4 linked regions of the Oryzias latipes genome follow. The protein of the gene in region 1 purifies or fractionates together with the protein of each later gene. This does not show direct contact. Links are inferred from orthologs where the notes say so. Each region holds a gene or a part of one and is shown in the gene's direction. Other genes may lie near its edges.

Region 1 (3,500 bases):
AGGTGGGTTAAAATAATTAACGCTTTAACATGCCCGTCATCCTGGTTTGTATACAATATGTGTATAAATGAAGGTATGTTTTTACAATTCTATGTGGAAGGGAAATGAACAGGATTTCTTAATTTTTGGGGGTATTAGGAAGGCGAAGTGTGTTTACTCAAGTCTCCTCCCCCAATTTTTTTGGGACTTGTGAATTTATACATTTATACATATTGCTTGCTTACACAAGTTTCCTTATATTCTAGCATATGTTATACTTTGCAAAAGTTCTTGTTTTCTTTTATTTTTATCACTTGTTCATAATACATGTATGAATGCAATAAGTGCAGCTCCAGATGTTTTGGATCCAGATTGATTTGAACTCTGTCTTCATAGGAAAAACCTCCAGGGATCCATAATGTATTTTTTTTTTTTGTGGGTAAATTAGTCTATTTTTTTAATGCTGTAAGTCGGCAGCAGTCCCAAGTTCCTGGGTTTGTGTGGGTGCGTCACAAACTACTGCTGCAAGGTTTGGTATTACGGCCAGAACCGTGAACCGATTCACAACGTCATGATTTGATAAAATATCAGCCCTTTTAGAAATATCCGTTTTGAGAGCTAATTGAAATTGTAAATGGCGTATACTTGTATAGAGCTTTACTAGCTTCCTAGAAGGCCCGAAGTCCTTCAGTCTCATTCACTTAAGCACACAGACATTCATACGCTACCAAACACTGGTACCAACCTACAACCGCCAGGAGGAATGTAAGGCTCAGTGTCTTGCCAAGGATACTTTGACACACAGGCGGACAGGGCGAGTATTGAACCTGCGATCTCTGTGCTGTTGGGACCTCTTAAGGCGGAAGCAGCTCTAAGTCGGACATGACTTCCCATCAGTCTGTTATTGGTTTAATAAGGATATTTAGAGACGGAGTGAGGTTTGTTTCTTTCCAGGATTACTAGACCGAGCAAAAGCTAAAATGTTTTACCAGATTGTTTCAGTTACTCCTCAGATCAGTTCTGCAGTAGAAAAATTAGGACATATTTGAGTACATCCAGACTTTGTGTTTGCTGAAGCTGACATTCTTCACGAACACTGGGATTTCTCATTCTTCAAAATGAAGAAGTCATCATTTAGACTCCGGGTGGAGTGTAGACTGCATCATATCTACAGAATCCTCTCTTTTTGGCCCAAATACTTTCAGCTCCAGTTTCCATCATATAAACACTGAGCAACCTTTTCTCTTTTTAGCCTAGACTCTGGATGGCGGCGGACAGCAAGCAGCACGAGTGAACAGCCAATCAGCTGAGGCTACCTGAAGCAACATGGCGTCTCGTCATAGGAACTCTGTGCGGATCCTGTACAGCCGAGAGCGGGGGTCCCAGACGGTGGGATCGCAGAGGCTGCTGCAGCTGCTGGTGGAGGAGAAGGTCCGCTGGATGAAATGGCAGAGTCAGGTGGGTTCGGGCTCATATTTAGGAACAAGTTAGTGTAGCTCATGACACAAGTTTCTATTGTTTTTCTGTCTTTTTTTATTTAAAAAAATGTTTTGCTTTTTGAGTATTTTTTTAGACGGCTGCCATAAAATATTACAGTTTAAACTCTTTAGGTCTAATGCGGCGTTCATACCGAACGTCATCAGCGCATCAAATTTCCGTCATCTACCTCTGTTTAGACATGCATCAAAGTGGCTGCTAGACCCTTATCCAAAAATGTGTGCATAAACCTGACGCTCCTGCATGTGTGGGAGAAGCTACTTTTAAAAGTTTATTTCTTCACCTGTGCATAATGAAAGACAGAAGAAAAAAGAGTTGTTAAACACGTCTCCATGAGATCTTTCAGAGACTCTCCCCATACGGTGAAGTTCACCATCTACTGCAGGATCTGCGTCTGAATGACGGCCGCTTTCAGCGCTACTTCTGCCTCTCTGTGACCCAGAATAATGAGTTGCAGTCCTGCATTCGTCAGAGGAAGGAAAAATTAAATTAAGTATAAAATTAGAGGATCTTTTTAAAATATTGTCTCCATATAAATAAGAAAACAGTAAAGTTCAGCAGGAGCACAAACAGCAACATTCTCCTCTATGTTGGTTTTGGACTCCACCCGCTGATCACATCATCAACACGTCATGGGCCAAAGCTGAGTTCCTGATTGATTGACACGATGCAAATTCTTTGCTAAAGTTCAGATATTTTATCTCTGGAAACATTCCCCCCCATGACATGCCCAAAATGCACTGCTTCTAGACCACCGCGTCCTGCCTGATGGCCAAAATATGCAGAATCTCATCGTGTCTGGACATTGACTTAACATTGAAACTGGACGCCTCTGCCAGGCGAGCTGCATTTGTTGTGAACACAGCAGCAAAGCTTCAGCCTCCACAGTGGTAGAAGAGGGTGGGGCACCTCCTGGTGGCCGAGTTCTGCTGCATCGCGATGCTCCAAACATTTTGCTTTTTAACAAGTTTGACATGTATTAACAAAAGAAAATTCAAAGTATAGATAAACAAAGATTAAAATGTAATTTGTGTTTGAAGTTGATTTGTTTTTTCTTTTCTTTTTTTTTAAACTTTTGAGTCAGAAAAAAATGTGAGTTTCTTAGTTTTCTCTGAAGCAAACTTAGATGTCTGTGTGGAAGAGTCTTTATTTATGGTCATAAAGAATGGGTTTTGATGCTTGAACCTGACTGACTGTTACCTGCTGTTCTCTGCTCTAACAGAAGGTGGAGCTGCCTGACAGCCCTCGTTCAACCTTCCTGCTGGCCTTCAGCCCCGACAGGTGAGACTCACTAGTGACACGAGGCTTAAACCTCCTGTGTAAATGATGAGAAAAGAGACGAGTTCCCTCCACCTGCGGATTTTCTTTGACGAGCAGCAAGACTCTTCCTTTGGCCGTCTTTCTCCGAGTTTCCATCTTTGCTGACTGAAGAGCTCCCATGTTCCCCCTGCAGGACTCTGATGGCGTCCACCCACGTCAACCACAACATCTACATCACTGAGGTGAAGACCGGGAAGTGCCTCCACTCTTTGGTGGGCCACAGAAGAACGCCCTGGTGCGTGACCTTCCACCCCACTATTCCCGGGCTGGTGGCCTCTGGGTGCCTTGATGGTGAAGTTCGAATCTGGGACCTGCATGTGAGTATCCGGGTCCAAAGTTCTGGATGTTTGTTAACAGGCTGTGACTGCTGCCATGGCAAAGGACTACGTTTCATTTCAAACCAAGAGGTTTTTTTTAAATCTCTTGGAAGTCAGAAAAGATTTCTGGATTTGTTATGTTGAAGCTTTTTTTGTGTAAAAATTAAATTGTTAAAGCATGTGTGCATGTAAAAAATTTTTCTATTGAAATCGAAAAACCCCTGGTGCATTCATTGGCGCTTTGAAAAGAAAAAAGAAAAATCAAGTTGCTGTCTGCATTAAATCCCTACTTTTCATGAAAACTGAAGAAAACACAACAAAACAAATTAAGTTGTGTAGTTTTAGTGCTCCTGTGCTGTGTTTGACCGCTCCTCCTCCTGCAGGGTG
Region 2 (4,260 bases), on another chromosome or scaffold:
CGTCCTTCAGCCGGATGCTGCCGTTGGATGAGCCCGTTTACCCTGAGAGCAGGCAGGCCGAGGACACCCCCCCCCCCAGATCCTGAGCAAACAGCCTCTCCGGCTCATTCCAGTCTCCACAGGCTCCACCCATGCTGCCCGACCCAAACACGGAGGAGCCGGCTCATCAACCGTCCCGCCCCCACAGCAGAACTGCATGAAGACGCAATGAAACCTTCAAACCCGAGTCTGAATCCGACCTACGTCAGAGGGAAACTCAGAGAGAAGAGGTCCGACTTTAAGACACCCCCCGACCAGACTAAAACTGACCCGAACCGAGAGGAGAACCGGGCCGAACCACCCAAAAACCACAGCAGGCATCCACGGCATCCAAACCCGACAGCAGGTGGCGCCCTGGAGCAGCACCTGGACCCCAGGAAGAGGTCCCACAGGCCGAGGACCCTCCAGAGCAGGGGCCCCAAATCCAGGCCTGGAGGGCCGGTGTCCTACATGTTCTAACCAACCTGCCGCTCAAGCTCCTTATTGGCTAAACACACCTGACCAGGTGACCAGCAGGACACGTGCACGCACATCCGTGTACACGCACTACTGTCCTTAAGATATTCACGGTGTTGATCCCGCAGTCTGAAAAAAGAAGCACGTGGGCTGCTGTGGTCTTTGACTCGCTTCTAACCCGATCCACTCCAGGCTAACCCGATGACGCGGTTCAGCAGCTGGTCGGTGTCTTATGGAAGTGTCCTTGAGCAAGGCACGCCGCGCCGAACGCCGTCCCATAAGCTGAATGGGGCGCAGTGCACGGAGCTGGTTTAACGGAACCGGCGGATAGCACACCGGACGCGTGACCTTGCGCGTGGTGGTCATCATCGTTAGCCCAATCACTACCCCCCCCCCCCCCCCCCCGCGCGCTAACAGAGACAGACGTTAAATGCTGTAAACAACCAGAAATCCCATCATTTTCTCTCTCCTCACCATTTTTGAGCGCTTGCGCAGAGCTGCACGTCTTCACTGAGAGAGCTTCGGACCGTCTGCACTTTGTCTCCACGTGAGGGAAGCCTCCAGATCGCGCATGCGCAGTAACGAGGCGCTGACAGAAAGCTCCAGAACAGCGGGGCTGCAGGCAGACCCGTACCTACAGTTCCGGTCTATCTAGGCCGCATTTGTCATTGAAACGGTGATTTCGTTTCAAAGTCACTCTCTACGGGCTCGCGCAATGTTGCACAATGTGACCTTTGACCTCTTTTTTTTCCTCCAATGGGGTACGGAAAATTCTGGAATCGTAGCCCAGGAACCAGCATAAGTGTGCGTTGCTGCGTTTCTCTGTTAGTTGTAACAAAGTTCATGTGAGAATAAATGATCAGAACATTCTGCGCAGGTATGAATAAACGTCTCCATGAAGATTAAAGACGGGGATAACAACTTGAACGTAAAAGAGAAGTTTTATTGAAGTAGTTATGCGTCATACAGAGTTCTGGGCGGGGCCGTACATAACCCGGATGTGATTCCCCACGTGCGGTATTCTCCGTTAGATCACTCGTGCAGCGCGTGCGGCAGATCGCAGCGGTTCCCTGTCAGGTAAGAACCGACCGTCCGAACCCGCAGCAGGGATCCGTCTCTGCGCGCGCGGCACTTTGTCCTGTCGGTGCGTGGAGAACCGAACAGAACCGAGCTCGGGTTTGTCTGAACAGCCGGTTCTGGCGTATGCGGACCGGTTCGTCCTGATGATTCCGGGACCGCGGCAGGGACGTGTCAAATACTCAGTTACCCCCGTGTAATCCCGTTACTCTGGAGCGGCTGAGGGAATCCGTCCAGGGAGCCGGCACGAGCTCTAACGTTTGACCTTGTGACGTACGACCGGAGGAGCTCACGTGGGGAACCGGGGGCTGTGAGCAGACTGCGGGGCATGTGGGGCTTTAATAACCCCTCAGACTGGTTCTCACCAGGCGTTACCCGGTAGGACCAGGTTCTAGTGCCCCCAGGAGGGGTTAAGAATCCTTTATTCATGAAAAGCTTCATTTGAATGAAATAAGCTGCAATTATTATTCCGAAAACTGTAACAGCCGCTGTTGTTCTGGAAACTAAAGTTTATCTTTTGGTATTTCGGTCATTTTAAAAGGCGTGTTTGAGGAAATGGTAGCAGATCTGTCACCGTAGGAATGAATGAGAGGCAGCTTGGAGGGTCCCATCAGTTATACTCCACCAATCAGAAGTTCGGGCCCGAGGCCGTGTCCTTGACTCCGCCCCCTTACCTCCTCCCGTCTGGACGCATGGAAGCTGCGGGAATGTCGGGCTGGGTTCTGGATGCTCCATTGGAGCTGATGATGGTGGAGCGTTTCTGGCTTTAACCTGACCGTCTACAGCATGTGTCAACCTCAAGGCCCGGGGGCCAAATGTGGCCCTCCGTGTCATTTTATGTGGCCCACGAGAACATAAAGGTGTTTAATTTCTTGGAATAAAAAATAAACATTGGTGTGTATTTATTCATATCTGGGGGGAATTGGATTTAAATGTTGGATTGGTCATCTATACATCAGGACTTAAACACTGTCCACATAACCTAACCTGACAGAATCAAATGTAAAAGGATTTGTGTTAGAATAACAAGCAAACATATGTTTTCTATGCAGCTGGAATTGTCAATTTAAAAAGTTATAATAAATAAATAATGAGTTATTTATCATTAAGGAGTAGTTGCATTTATTTTCATTACATTTAGTTACATGTATAAGTTACATCTGGCCCTTTGAGGACAGACACTATGCTGATGTGGCCCTCAGTGAAAATGAGTGTGACCCGCTTGTTACAGTTTGAAATGCTGCTGAACCAAGATCAGGCCGACTGAGGAGAAACAAGTCAAAGTCAGCTTTGTTGTCAAATATGCTGCAGACACAAGACAGACATGCAGCACAGATGAAGTTACTTTCCTCTCCCCCCACAATTTAAGCAGGATGTTCTGAACTTGGTCACAAATTCCCAGTTTCAGATGATGTTTCTGGTAAAAATTAACTGCTTGCTTGTGCTCAGTCTGCATCTTAAGGATGCTTAGATGCTGCGTGTCACGTGGGTTTGCTTAAGTTCCCGCTCACTGTAATTCCACTGGTGACCACCGGGCGGTACTGCTGGTCCTGTAGGATCCTCAATGGCTTCACTGCTTTTCTCCACAGAGATGTTTCGTTTAGCGACAGTCATGAGGCAGGTGAGGCCCGTGAGCCGGGCGCTGGCCCCTCATCTCACACGGGCCTACGCCAAGGACGTGAAGTTCGGGGCGGACGCTCGGGCGCTCATGCTGCAGGGGGTGGACCTGTTGGCGGATGCTGTGGCCGTCACCATGGGCCCAAAGGTAACAAACCCGCTGACGGGTGGATTAGGTTTGGAAACAGAACAGGAAAGGTGTGAAAGTGCTCCAGTCGAATGTTTTAAGCATCGTCTTCCCGGTCCAGGGACGCACTGTCATCATCGAGCAGAGCTGGGGCAGCCCCAAGGTCACCAAGGACGGCGTGACGGTGGCCAAGAGCATCGATCTGAAGGACAAGTACAAGAACATCGGTGCCAGGCTGGTGCAGGATGTGGCAAACAACACCAACGAGGAGGCTGGCGATGGCACCACCACCGCCACGGTGCTGGCCAGAGCCATCGCCAAGGAGGGCTTCGACAACATCAGCAAAGGTGCAAACCCTGTGGAGATCCGCCGCGGCGTCATGATGGCGGTGGAGGCGGTCATCGGCGAGCTGCAGAGACTCTCCAAGCCCGTCACCACCCCAGAGGAGATCGCACAGGTCTGGGAAGGGCATCCGGTTGTCCTGACGCCGTCTCCACACGGTCACCCTCACTCATCACGCGTGTCGTTTCAGGTCGCAACCATCTCAGCCAATGGAGACACGGAGATCGGAAACATCATCTCCAACGCAATGAAGAAAGTGGGCCGCAAAGGAGTCATCACCGTGAAGGTGAGGGGGAGGGGCTGCGAGGAGTCCACCCACCGGAGTGGAGAACATCCTCCGGTTCTGGATGACCGTTATGTGGCAAATGATGGCAGCACGTTCTGCGTCCATACATGGGGGGTTGGACCAAAGCCTCTGAGAGGACTTCCTGTGTCCTCATTGTCCAACCTTTGACGGCGTCTAGAAGCTTTCTGGTTAACATTCATTCCTTCTGCCGCAGGACGGGAAAACGCTGCAGGACGAGCTGGAGATCATCGAGGGCATGAAGTTTGACCGCGGTTACATCTCTCCCTACTTCATCAACACCGCCAAAGGTAAGGCT
Region 3 (4,068 bases), on another chromosome or scaffold:
AATAGACTAAATTTTGAAAACAATTATTTGTGTAATAATTGAACATAACAATGACAAGATACAAACTCCAGCAGAGGATCAACATACTAGGACACAAGTACAGACAATGATACAGTCTGAACTGATCAACACATTCTGTTACTGATTGCTTTCAGAAGGAAAATAAGAGAACAACATAAATACAATAAGATAAAACAGATAATTAAATAAAACAAAACGGGAGCCTAATGGCACAGGAAACTAAATAGAATAACAGCAAGGAAATTTGTTCAGAGATTTATTTAGCAGATTCTCAGGATTGTAATATTTTCAATTATCACAATCCCTGCAACAGTGGATATAGTATAAGTAAAATTACATTAGCAATATGTTAGAATTATCTAAATTTTCCATGAACAATATTACATCAGCAATCCAAAAAGGGGGAATGTTTAGTTTTAGATTAATCCAATTCCATATAAGTCCAGAAATCCTTGCATGAAAAAATGCAGAATGAAGAAATGTTCCAAAGTTTCATTACAAAAAAGTGCAAGGTTCCACATCCAATTTAAATCTGCTTTAAGAAATTCAGAGACAGGGTGGAATTTTATTATTACTTTAAAAGGAGTTTCTTTTATTTGGAGCAGTACAGGCCATCTAACGTATTTTGAATGTGCTTTAACTAATGCAGGTTGACAGTTTAAATTAGGAAGTGATCTAAAGCAAGCTCGATTGTGGACATGATATATTCTTTCCTTCATATTTTATAGTTGTTCAAAAAAAATGTTTGAGTTTTTTTTTCTTTAGGGGAGCAGGTGAGATAGTATTTATCCGTAAAAGATGTAAACAAGTCAAAATATTTCTTTCAGTCAGTTAAATCTTTTACAAAAAAAGCAAACCTGTCAATCCAGTCCTGTTTCAATATAGATTTTCTGCCAACTGATACTGTTCAGTTATTCCGTATTGACTACAAGACAGCGACAGACGATCATTTCCGGGTTCATGCATCGAGAACAACAAACTACCGCTTTCAAAAAATTGACTTATTTCATTATTTTCCCCTCCTTTTACGTTTGATTTATACAAATGTTGCACTTTTGTGTACATTGTAGGGTATGTCTAACTTCAGAATGTTAATACCAGACGTAGTTTGCCTTTAGTTTCCATCAAGTTATCGGTCGCAACGTAGTGACGTTCCGGAAATACATTTCGCACCCTTTCGCCGTAGAACACCCTCCGACAAATACATTAAGGCAGTCTTTTATGTTGAAAATTCAGAAATAAATTGCCGAAGAGTCGTTTTCCTTTTATAATTTACTTGACATTTGTCTGTCTCCTTTAGTTGCACGCATTTCTTTAAACGTTATGTTTGTGTAACTTTATATACCTCAAGTGCCTTTGAGTAATCCTGTTTACTCGTACTTTGACAGGTCTTCTGTTAGCCGACTGTGTAAACATGTCGTACGTGTGCACGAGCTTATTATAGGAGCGACTCTGAAAGTGTTGTTGTAGGCCTTTCGAGGTATTTTCATCCCTGCTCTTGGCTAACAGCAAACCCCCTCATCAGAAAATGTCAGTGCAGGAATATGAGCGGCATTTCGAGTCGCTAAATTCGGATTTAGGCGGCGAGTCTGTGGGCAGTGAGCGGTCATCTTCTGGGACGTTTTATGGCGAAGAGGAGAAGTTACACTACATTCCTATCCGGATCCTGGGGAGGGGGGCGTTTGGGGAAGCGACTCTGTACAGAAGAACTGAGGTAAGCTAGGTGCTACTGCTATTTTATTAGAATATTTTTAAAATAAAAGTAAATGAAAGTTAGTTGAATTGTAATACATTTTCTTTAATTGGTCCTTTTTGTTGTTTTTTTTTTGTTGGGATAAAATAAAATGTAAATATTTCCTTTTTTCCACCGCTGTGAAAAAGCAAGATTTTTGACCCTATCATTGTAAATTAATTTATCATTAACATTTTCTTTGGTGAATTTAAATTAAAATTGATTATTTTCTTTTTATAGATTATCTAATAGTTAATTTTAAAAATAACTTATTATTTAATAGTGTCCTATTTATGTGGTTTTAGTATTGTATTTTGATAAGCATAATCCTGCAAATATAGTGTGATATTGAGCATTAGTGTTTGTTTTGACTGGTTATTATGTGTACACAACCTGTTATTTAGATTCTTGATTCAAAATTATTCACGAACCCTGTGATAGAATAGTCTCTAATTTTCCGTTGTCTTTTGTCTTAGGATAATTCCTTGGTGGTGTGGAAAGAGGTGGACTTGAACTCGCTCTCAGAGAAGGAACGTCGAGATGTCATGAATGAAATCAACATCCTCTCCGTGTTGGAGCACAACAACATCATAGCTTACTTCAACCACTTTATGGACAAAAACTCTCTGCTCATTGAGTTGGAGTATTGCAACGGTACGTCTGATCGTCCACCTTCTTGTTTCCTTTCAAGGATTTGCTACAGGGAATGCTTTTGTCCTGACAGGAGGAAATTTGTACGATAAAATCGTCCAGCAGAAAGGAGTTCCCTTTTCCGAGAAGGTATGAGCGCGGTGTAGGCTTTTGATTGATCTAAATTTCTTTTGTTTTACTTTTCTACGATCGTTTGTGCCTTTTAATCCTAGGTAGTGGTATGGTACCTCTATCAAATTGCTTCAGCAGTGGCCTACATTCACAAAGCTGGGATCTTACACAGGTAACGTTCATGCAAGGAACCCAAGTTTGTGTTTTCAAACAATTGTGTTTTAAATATGTTTACTTTTTTCCCGCCGTTTGCAGAGATATCAAAACTTTGAACATTTTCCTGACCAAGACAGACCTCATCAAGCTGGGGGATTATGGCCTTGCAAAGAAGCTGGACTCTGAGTTTTCAATGGCAGAGACAGTAAGGATGTGGATGAGTAAACATTGGATTTAAACGCCCTACATAACGTTAAAAGAATTCCTTGGTAGTAATTCTTGTATCAATTTTTGTCTTCTTTTGTGTTTCCAGTGTGTAGGAACTCCATATTACATGTCACCTGAATTGTGCCAGGGAGCAAAGTACAACTTCAAATCCGACATTTGGGCTATGGGTTGTGTCCTTTATGAAGTCTTAACTCTAAAAAGAACATTTGATGCAACAGTGAGTTTGACTGGATTTTCATAAACTGTTCCATCCTCTTTTTCTTGCTTACTTAAATGCATTTCTGCAACTCCTGTGTTTGCACAGAACCCGTTAAACCTCTGTGTTAAAATAGTCCAAGGCAACTGGACTATGGAAGGGGTCTCTGACATTTATTCGTCCGGACTGTTGAAGCTGGTGTACGAGTGTCTGCATCAGGTAAGAGCGAGGATCAGTTCTGCAGGGAAAACAGCGTTTACCTCTGAGCGGCAGTTCACTTCTTTTTACTTACAGGATCCTGCAAAAAGGCCAACAGCTGAGCACATTCTGGACCAGCCTTCCATCTCCTGCTGCAGACAGTGAGAGTATTTCTATTTTTATACTTTTGGAAACGACGACGGAGTTTTAGGGCCAGTTTACAAACAAGTTTTTTAATTTTTTTTTGTTTTGAATTTAAAGTCGTTTATTTACGACTTAAAATCTCGTAAATTTGCAAGAAAAAGTCACAAATTGACGAGAAAAAACACCAAAGTTGTCTGTTTATCGGAGCCTAGCTTGAAGATGAAAGATGTGGAGCCTTTAGAGAAGCTTTATTTCCAGATAGGTTTCAAAATTGTAATTTTTTTTTTTTTGGTGGCCCTAAAACTCTGTCGTAGGAAAACATCCCTTTTTTTATTTGTCGCATTTGCTTCATTTTCTTTCAGGGAGCTTGAGGAGCAAGTTGTCTTGCTGAATTCATCAATGAAGAGACCAAAGTTAGTAATTTTTTTTTAAATGAATGTTATATACAGGTAATATGTAACCAACTGACTTTTATGGTATAGATTAAATCCAGTGTCGGAGAGTTCCATTGCCGTGGTGACACGTTCAAGGGAGGTGTACTATTGGGGAGGAGGGAAGTTTACCCCCCAAAAACTTGACTCATTCAAAGCAGGCAGCGGGGCCCAGCATGTGTGTGCAGGAGAGAATCATT
Region 4 (4,162 bases), on another chromosome or scaffold:
TGCTTTTGGATGCTCTGCAGAAATCCTGTGCAGGAAGCGCGTTGCTGCCCTCTGGTGGTGAATCTCAAATACCGACACACACAGGACAAAATAACTGATTTAAAAAACCAGCAGTGTCACTCAAGTCCTGCTCTTCTTTATTTATTATATGTAAGGTTTTCACAATATTGTTATTCACTGATAAAATGAGTTAAAGTGCTTTTTAAAGTGAGCGGCCCAGAGGAACGTCAAATCGGTGTTTTGTTTGCTTTAACACAAGCATCAGTTTTCCTGATGCTGGTTTTTAGGAGCGACTGCTGTCAGTCCAGCCATGTTGGACCCCGTTGTGTGGGGGAGGACGTTTTAACCGAGGAAGGACGTGTCACGTGTCCTGCAGCTCCCACCGATGCCGAGATGTTCCTGAATGCATGTCGGGAAACGAGGAACCTGAAAACCTCGTCTGGACAGGATGGCACACTTGTAAAAAATGTTGGTTTCAACCTGGCTGAAGTTGAGGTTCTGCTGGGTCCAGAACTTGTGGTTCCAGTCCTCCGTCTCCTGCCTCAGGTTTCTCAGCCTCTTTTCCAGCTCCGACTCCTCCTCAGGGATGCGGTAGATGATCGGCCGCAGGTTGGACAGCGGGTTCGGGGGGCCGATCCAGTCATGTGTAGAGCTGGGCTCCGGTCTCAAAGGTGTCCGCTGAAAAATGGAAATATGAACAATAATTAAACGTATTTACTAAGAACAGATGGACTGCAAACCGCAGTCCCATGCCCACATCCTAATGTTTGCAGCATTTGTCCAAAGATGGACTTTACAAGTGACCAAAAAAATGTAAAAAAAAAAAAGAAAATAAAACACCAGAAAAAGGTGTTCGTTTAACCCTGGAGAACCCAGCAACCATTTTTTTTTCAGGGCTTTTAAAGGTAATTAAGCAAATTTGATTTTGTTTCTTCATTTTGGAAAGCAGCAATTAACAGCAACCAAAAAAAACTTCAAATGAAAACCTAAAAATAAAGGAAAAACTAGAGAGAAAAAGAAATAAATAAAAACCATAGAGCTAAAGTTGATCCTGTGGATTCCCCCAGAGTTAAAAACACAGAGACAAGTCAAAAAGATAACTAACAATGAATTAATTTGTCCCACCAGATCGATCTGTCTGAGCCAAGAGGGTAATCAATTCCAATTGACCTCTACCATTAAAAAAATCGTTAAAATCGATTATATTGATCTTGGAAAATACCATTTAGATTGAGGTACAGTAGGTTTATTTGACTATAAGGTCAAACCGCCCAATCACAGCAACACACATGTGATGTCATTAACACGGATCAGTCCATCATTCCAGTCCAATGTGTGGACAGACTTTGAATAAAGTCATGCGACCATCCAGTGTCTAGAATGTTCTAAGAATGTTCCCTTTGGATTCTTTGGATGTGGAAAAACAACAGTGGAGAACTTTAGGAGAAGATCAACCAACAACTGTTTGCTTTTTTCAGGAAACTCTTTTTCAAAGAGGGCCAACTATTCAATGCATTAAAAGCAAATAAACTATGAACATTATTATGGCAATTGGACTCTTCCTATTTCTTCACATAAAAGAGAATTCTATCTAAATACATTTGTACATGAATTTCTGATTAGAAGGCCAGACTTAAAATCCAGAATAGGTCTGCAGCTTTGATGGCCCTTTGGAGCCAGCGCAGTCTGAGGGTTTTTGATGGGACGGCCCCCCAGGCATGATGCAGAGGGAACCAGAGGACTCCAGAAAACCCATTTTAACCGGGCCAAAGCATGTGAACGCATCTAAGAATAACCAACAGAATCCATCAGACTCTGGCGCTTCAGGTTCCTACGGTTTGGGGCTGAGGTGGGTCAGCAGGAGGCCCTGCAGGAGGGCAGCAGGAGGGATGCAGGAGGCCCTGCAGGAGGGATGCAGGAGGCCCTGCAGTCTAACTGGAGGCATCTGCTTATCAGTGCAGAGCAGACGGCAGCAGGAGAAGAGCACGGAGGAGAGCAGGCATGAGGAGAGCAGGGAGGAGGAAGACTCCATCCAGGACCCAGAGGCCTGAAAAAAGGTGCGTTATGACATCACTACCTTCAGCTGCAGAAGTCTTTGGACTTTCTTCATCATTACGGTTACATTTACTACAGTGAATCAGAAACATTAGCCCAAACAAACCCACTGACAGCTGTTACAGATGGGTTCTACTGGTGTCTTTTGATTCTCGCAGCCTTTCTGTGAGGATCTAGAGCCGTTAAATGAAACTTCAGAACCAGATGACGTGAAAATCTCTCATGGTTGCTGATGAAAAGCCTGTCCGTTAGGCCTAAGCAGCACTAAACATAGAAGGAGTTGGTTAAAGCCATGTTTAGTTCAGCCAGTCAGTAACCTGCAGGTCAATTAGACTTTTTGGCTGTGCAGACCTAGTGCGCATGCGTCGTTATCTTGGTTTTCACAGCAGGATCAGAACCTCAGCGTTTCTGATTCCTCCGGTAATGTGAGCACGGAGCCTGGGATAAAAACACCAACGCGGAACGGACTGCGGCGGCGCGCGCACCTTGGCGGCTTTATCCTGTTGGCTCGTTGGATTATTAGAGCCGTTGCGCCGGATGTTTACATCCAGCAGTTGCACGCGGGAGTTCCGCGCGCTCCTCCACGACAAGCGTCCAGCTGCCCCGAATGTCATTCCCGCAAAATCAAGGCACTGTCACGCAGAAAAGCTAAACACGCAACGGTGGCGAACAACCCATGTCTCCCAACTGTATGTCCTTCCGCGAGGATGTAGGACAGGTGGTCACGTGAGCTGCAAAAAACGGCTAGAGACGCTCGGAAACAGCACCTTCGCAAGCCGTTAGTCAAGTCTCTGCCCGACGGGTTCGGAGCAGATGAGGTTTCAAACTAAACTCTAAATAAAACATATTTCTAGAAAGATACTGTCAAAACTTTTCATCGCAAAAGCTTCAAGTACCAAAGCTACAAACTACGTTTTGAGTACGTTATTTAAAAACACTGCTATATTTATGTTTTATCAGAAGCGATAACGAAATAAAACATAAACAAAACGGGTCGAGTTTGTCTCCGCACAGAGTTGGTGATTAAATGGAGCGCACTCGCTGTTGGCCGACAACAACCTTCCCTGCGTCTGAACTGATAAAAGCTTCATTATTAAACGAGATAATGACCAACAAGATTAACCAAAGTGTTAGGAATGTGTACAGATATAGTTGTAGCTGTTGGTTACACTCAGAGATTGAAATATTGATTAAAATACGAAGTGGGAGGGTAGATTCAGCGAAACAATCGAACTCCGTGAAACTATAGTGGCGAGGCTGAGACGGGAAAGTAAGTCCGTGAAGGTGCAGCTAGGCGGGCTAATGTTGATCTTCAACAGAAGGTTTGGGGCTTTTCCTTCGCAGCGGGGTACATGGCTGTTCGCTGGTTATGCAGGTAAGACTGGGGCGGTTCAACGGCGGGTAGATGCCGGCGTAAAGCCGCAGTTTATGCGGTCAAGGTGGGGCAGAGTCAGTCAGGTGATCACCGACAGCTCACAACGGTGTTAACGGGCTGGAAAAAGACCCGGTGGTGGGATTTCATCTTTCGAAGTCAAATATCTGCGCGTGTAGGTCAAGTGTTTGGGGTTTTTTTTATTTTAAAAGAAGGGGGGGGGGGGGGGGGACAAAACCATGTTTGCAGACGTAGTGGCTTAGAGGTGGGAGGGGCGACAGCCGCCGGACTGCAGGCGGGCGGGCAGAGTCTGTCTGCTGGTCGCCGGAGCATCGCGACACCTCCGCGGGCTCCTGTCTGCGCACGCGGCTGCTCCCCAGCTTCGCCGGCCGCCTGCTTTCTGCTGATGGAAACAGACATCTCTCAGAATGTGCGCGAACGTGTTCGGAGTCCTGAAGAGGTGAGGCGGCGTCAGGGCGGGGCGGGGGGGCTGGTTCGGCTTCACGCTCGTCCGCCCGCAGAGCCAGCGGCCACGCAGGGTTTCCCGCGGGGGACTAGCGTTGGCGGGGCGGCTGTTGAACCGCGTCCGGTTCGGGTTCCGAACGGCCGCGTGCGCCTCAGAGGCCCTCTCTGGCTGCTGTAACCAAACGGAGGCGCGCGCTGATTGGCCGTCCGCGCGGGGACTGGACTCCGATTATCCTAATAAATGCTGAGATTTGGCAGCTTTCCCCTCTG

Evidence for each region. The genes of interacting proteins can lie anywhere in the genome.
Region 2: the proteins of ambra1 (region 1) and hspd1 purify together in Homo sapiens (affinity purification with mass spectrometry, with the first as the bait; 3 studies listed by BioGRID). This does not show direct contact. The link is inferred for Oryzias latipes from reciprocal best matches to the Homo sapiens genes AMBRA1 and HSPD1.
Region 3: the proteins of ambra1 (region 1) and nek9 purify together in Homo sapiens (affinity purification with mass spectrometry; 3 studies listed by BioGRID and IntAct, with this or other methods). This does not show direct contact. The link is inferred for Oryzias latipes from reciprocal best matches to the Homo sapiens genes AMBRA1 and NEK9.
Region 4: the proteins of ambra1 (region 1) and bag5 purify together in Homo sapiens (affinity purification with mass spectrometry, with the first as the bait; 3 studies listed by BioGRID). This does not show direct contact. The link is inferred for Oryzias latipes from reciprocal best matches to the Homo sapiens genes AMBRA1 and BAG5.

What each region holds. Positions count from the first base shown.
Region 1 is NC_019864.2:26,780,463-26,783,962, forward strand, and holds part of ambra1 (activating molecule in BECN1-regulated autophagy protein 1), read left to right. Parts: intron 1-1,231; 5' UTR 1,232-1,305; coding exon 1,306-1,437; intron 1,438-2,698; coding exon 2,699-2,757; intron 2,758-2,929; coding exon 2,930-3,113; intron 3,114-3,496; coding exon 3,497-3,500. UniProt on the Homo sapiens protein: Substrate-recognition component of a DCX (DDB1-CUL4-X-box) E3 ubiquitin-protein ligase complex involved in cell cycle control and autophagy.
Region 2 is NC_019879.2:154,290-158,549, forward strand, and holds the start of hspd1 (60 kDa heat shock protein, mitochondrial), read left to right. Parts: upstream 1-1,460; 5' UTR 1,461-1,572; intron 1,573-3,161; 5' UTR 3,162-3,163; coding exon 3,164-3,337; intron 3,338-3,437; coding exon 3,438-3,773; intron 3,774-3,848; coding exon 3,849-3,944; intron 3,945-4,158; coding exon 4,159-4,252; intron 4,253-4,260. UniProt on the Homo sapiens protein: Chaperonin implicated in mitochondrial protein import and macromolecular assembly. Together with Hsp10, facilitates the correct folding of imported proteins.
Region 3 is NC_019880.2:13,219,229-13,223,296, forward strand, and holds the start of nek9 (serine/threonine-protein kinase Nek9), read left to right. Parts: upstream 1-1,268; 5' UTR 1,269-1,549; coding exon 1,550-1,735; intron 1,736-2,229; coding exon 2,230-2,407; intron 2,408-2,477; coding exon 2,478-2,533; intron 2,534-2,616; coding exon 2,617-2,687; intron 2,688-2,770; coding exon 2,771-2,876; intron 2,877-2,984; coding exon 2,985-3,116; intron 3,117-3,203; coding exon 3,204-3,314; intron 3,315-3,389; coding exon 3,390-3,454; intron 3,455-3,799; coding exon 3,800-3,850; intron 3,851-3,919; coding exon 3,920-4,068.
Region 4 is NC_019880.2:21,267,805-21,271,966, forward strand, and holds the start of bag5 (BAG family molecular chaperone regulator 5), read left to right. Parts: upstream 1-1,362; 5' UTR 1,363-2,001; coding exon 2,002-2,057; intron 2,058-2,540; coding exon of another isoform or gene 2,541-2,669; exon of another isoform or gene 2,670-2,788; intron 2,789-2,923; exon of another isoform or gene 2,924-3,407; coding exon of another isoform or gene 3,408-3,430; intron 3,431-3,688; exon of another isoform or gene 3,689-3,855; coding exon of another isoform or gene 3,856-3,887; intron 3,888-4,162. Other genes in the region: apopt1 (apoptogenic protein 1, mitochondrial), read right to left, coding at 481-678, 2,541-2,669. UniProt on the Homo sapiens protein: Co-chaperone for HSP/HSP70 proteins. It functions as a nucleotide-exchange factor promoting the release of ADP from HSP70, thereby activating HSP70-mediated protein refolding.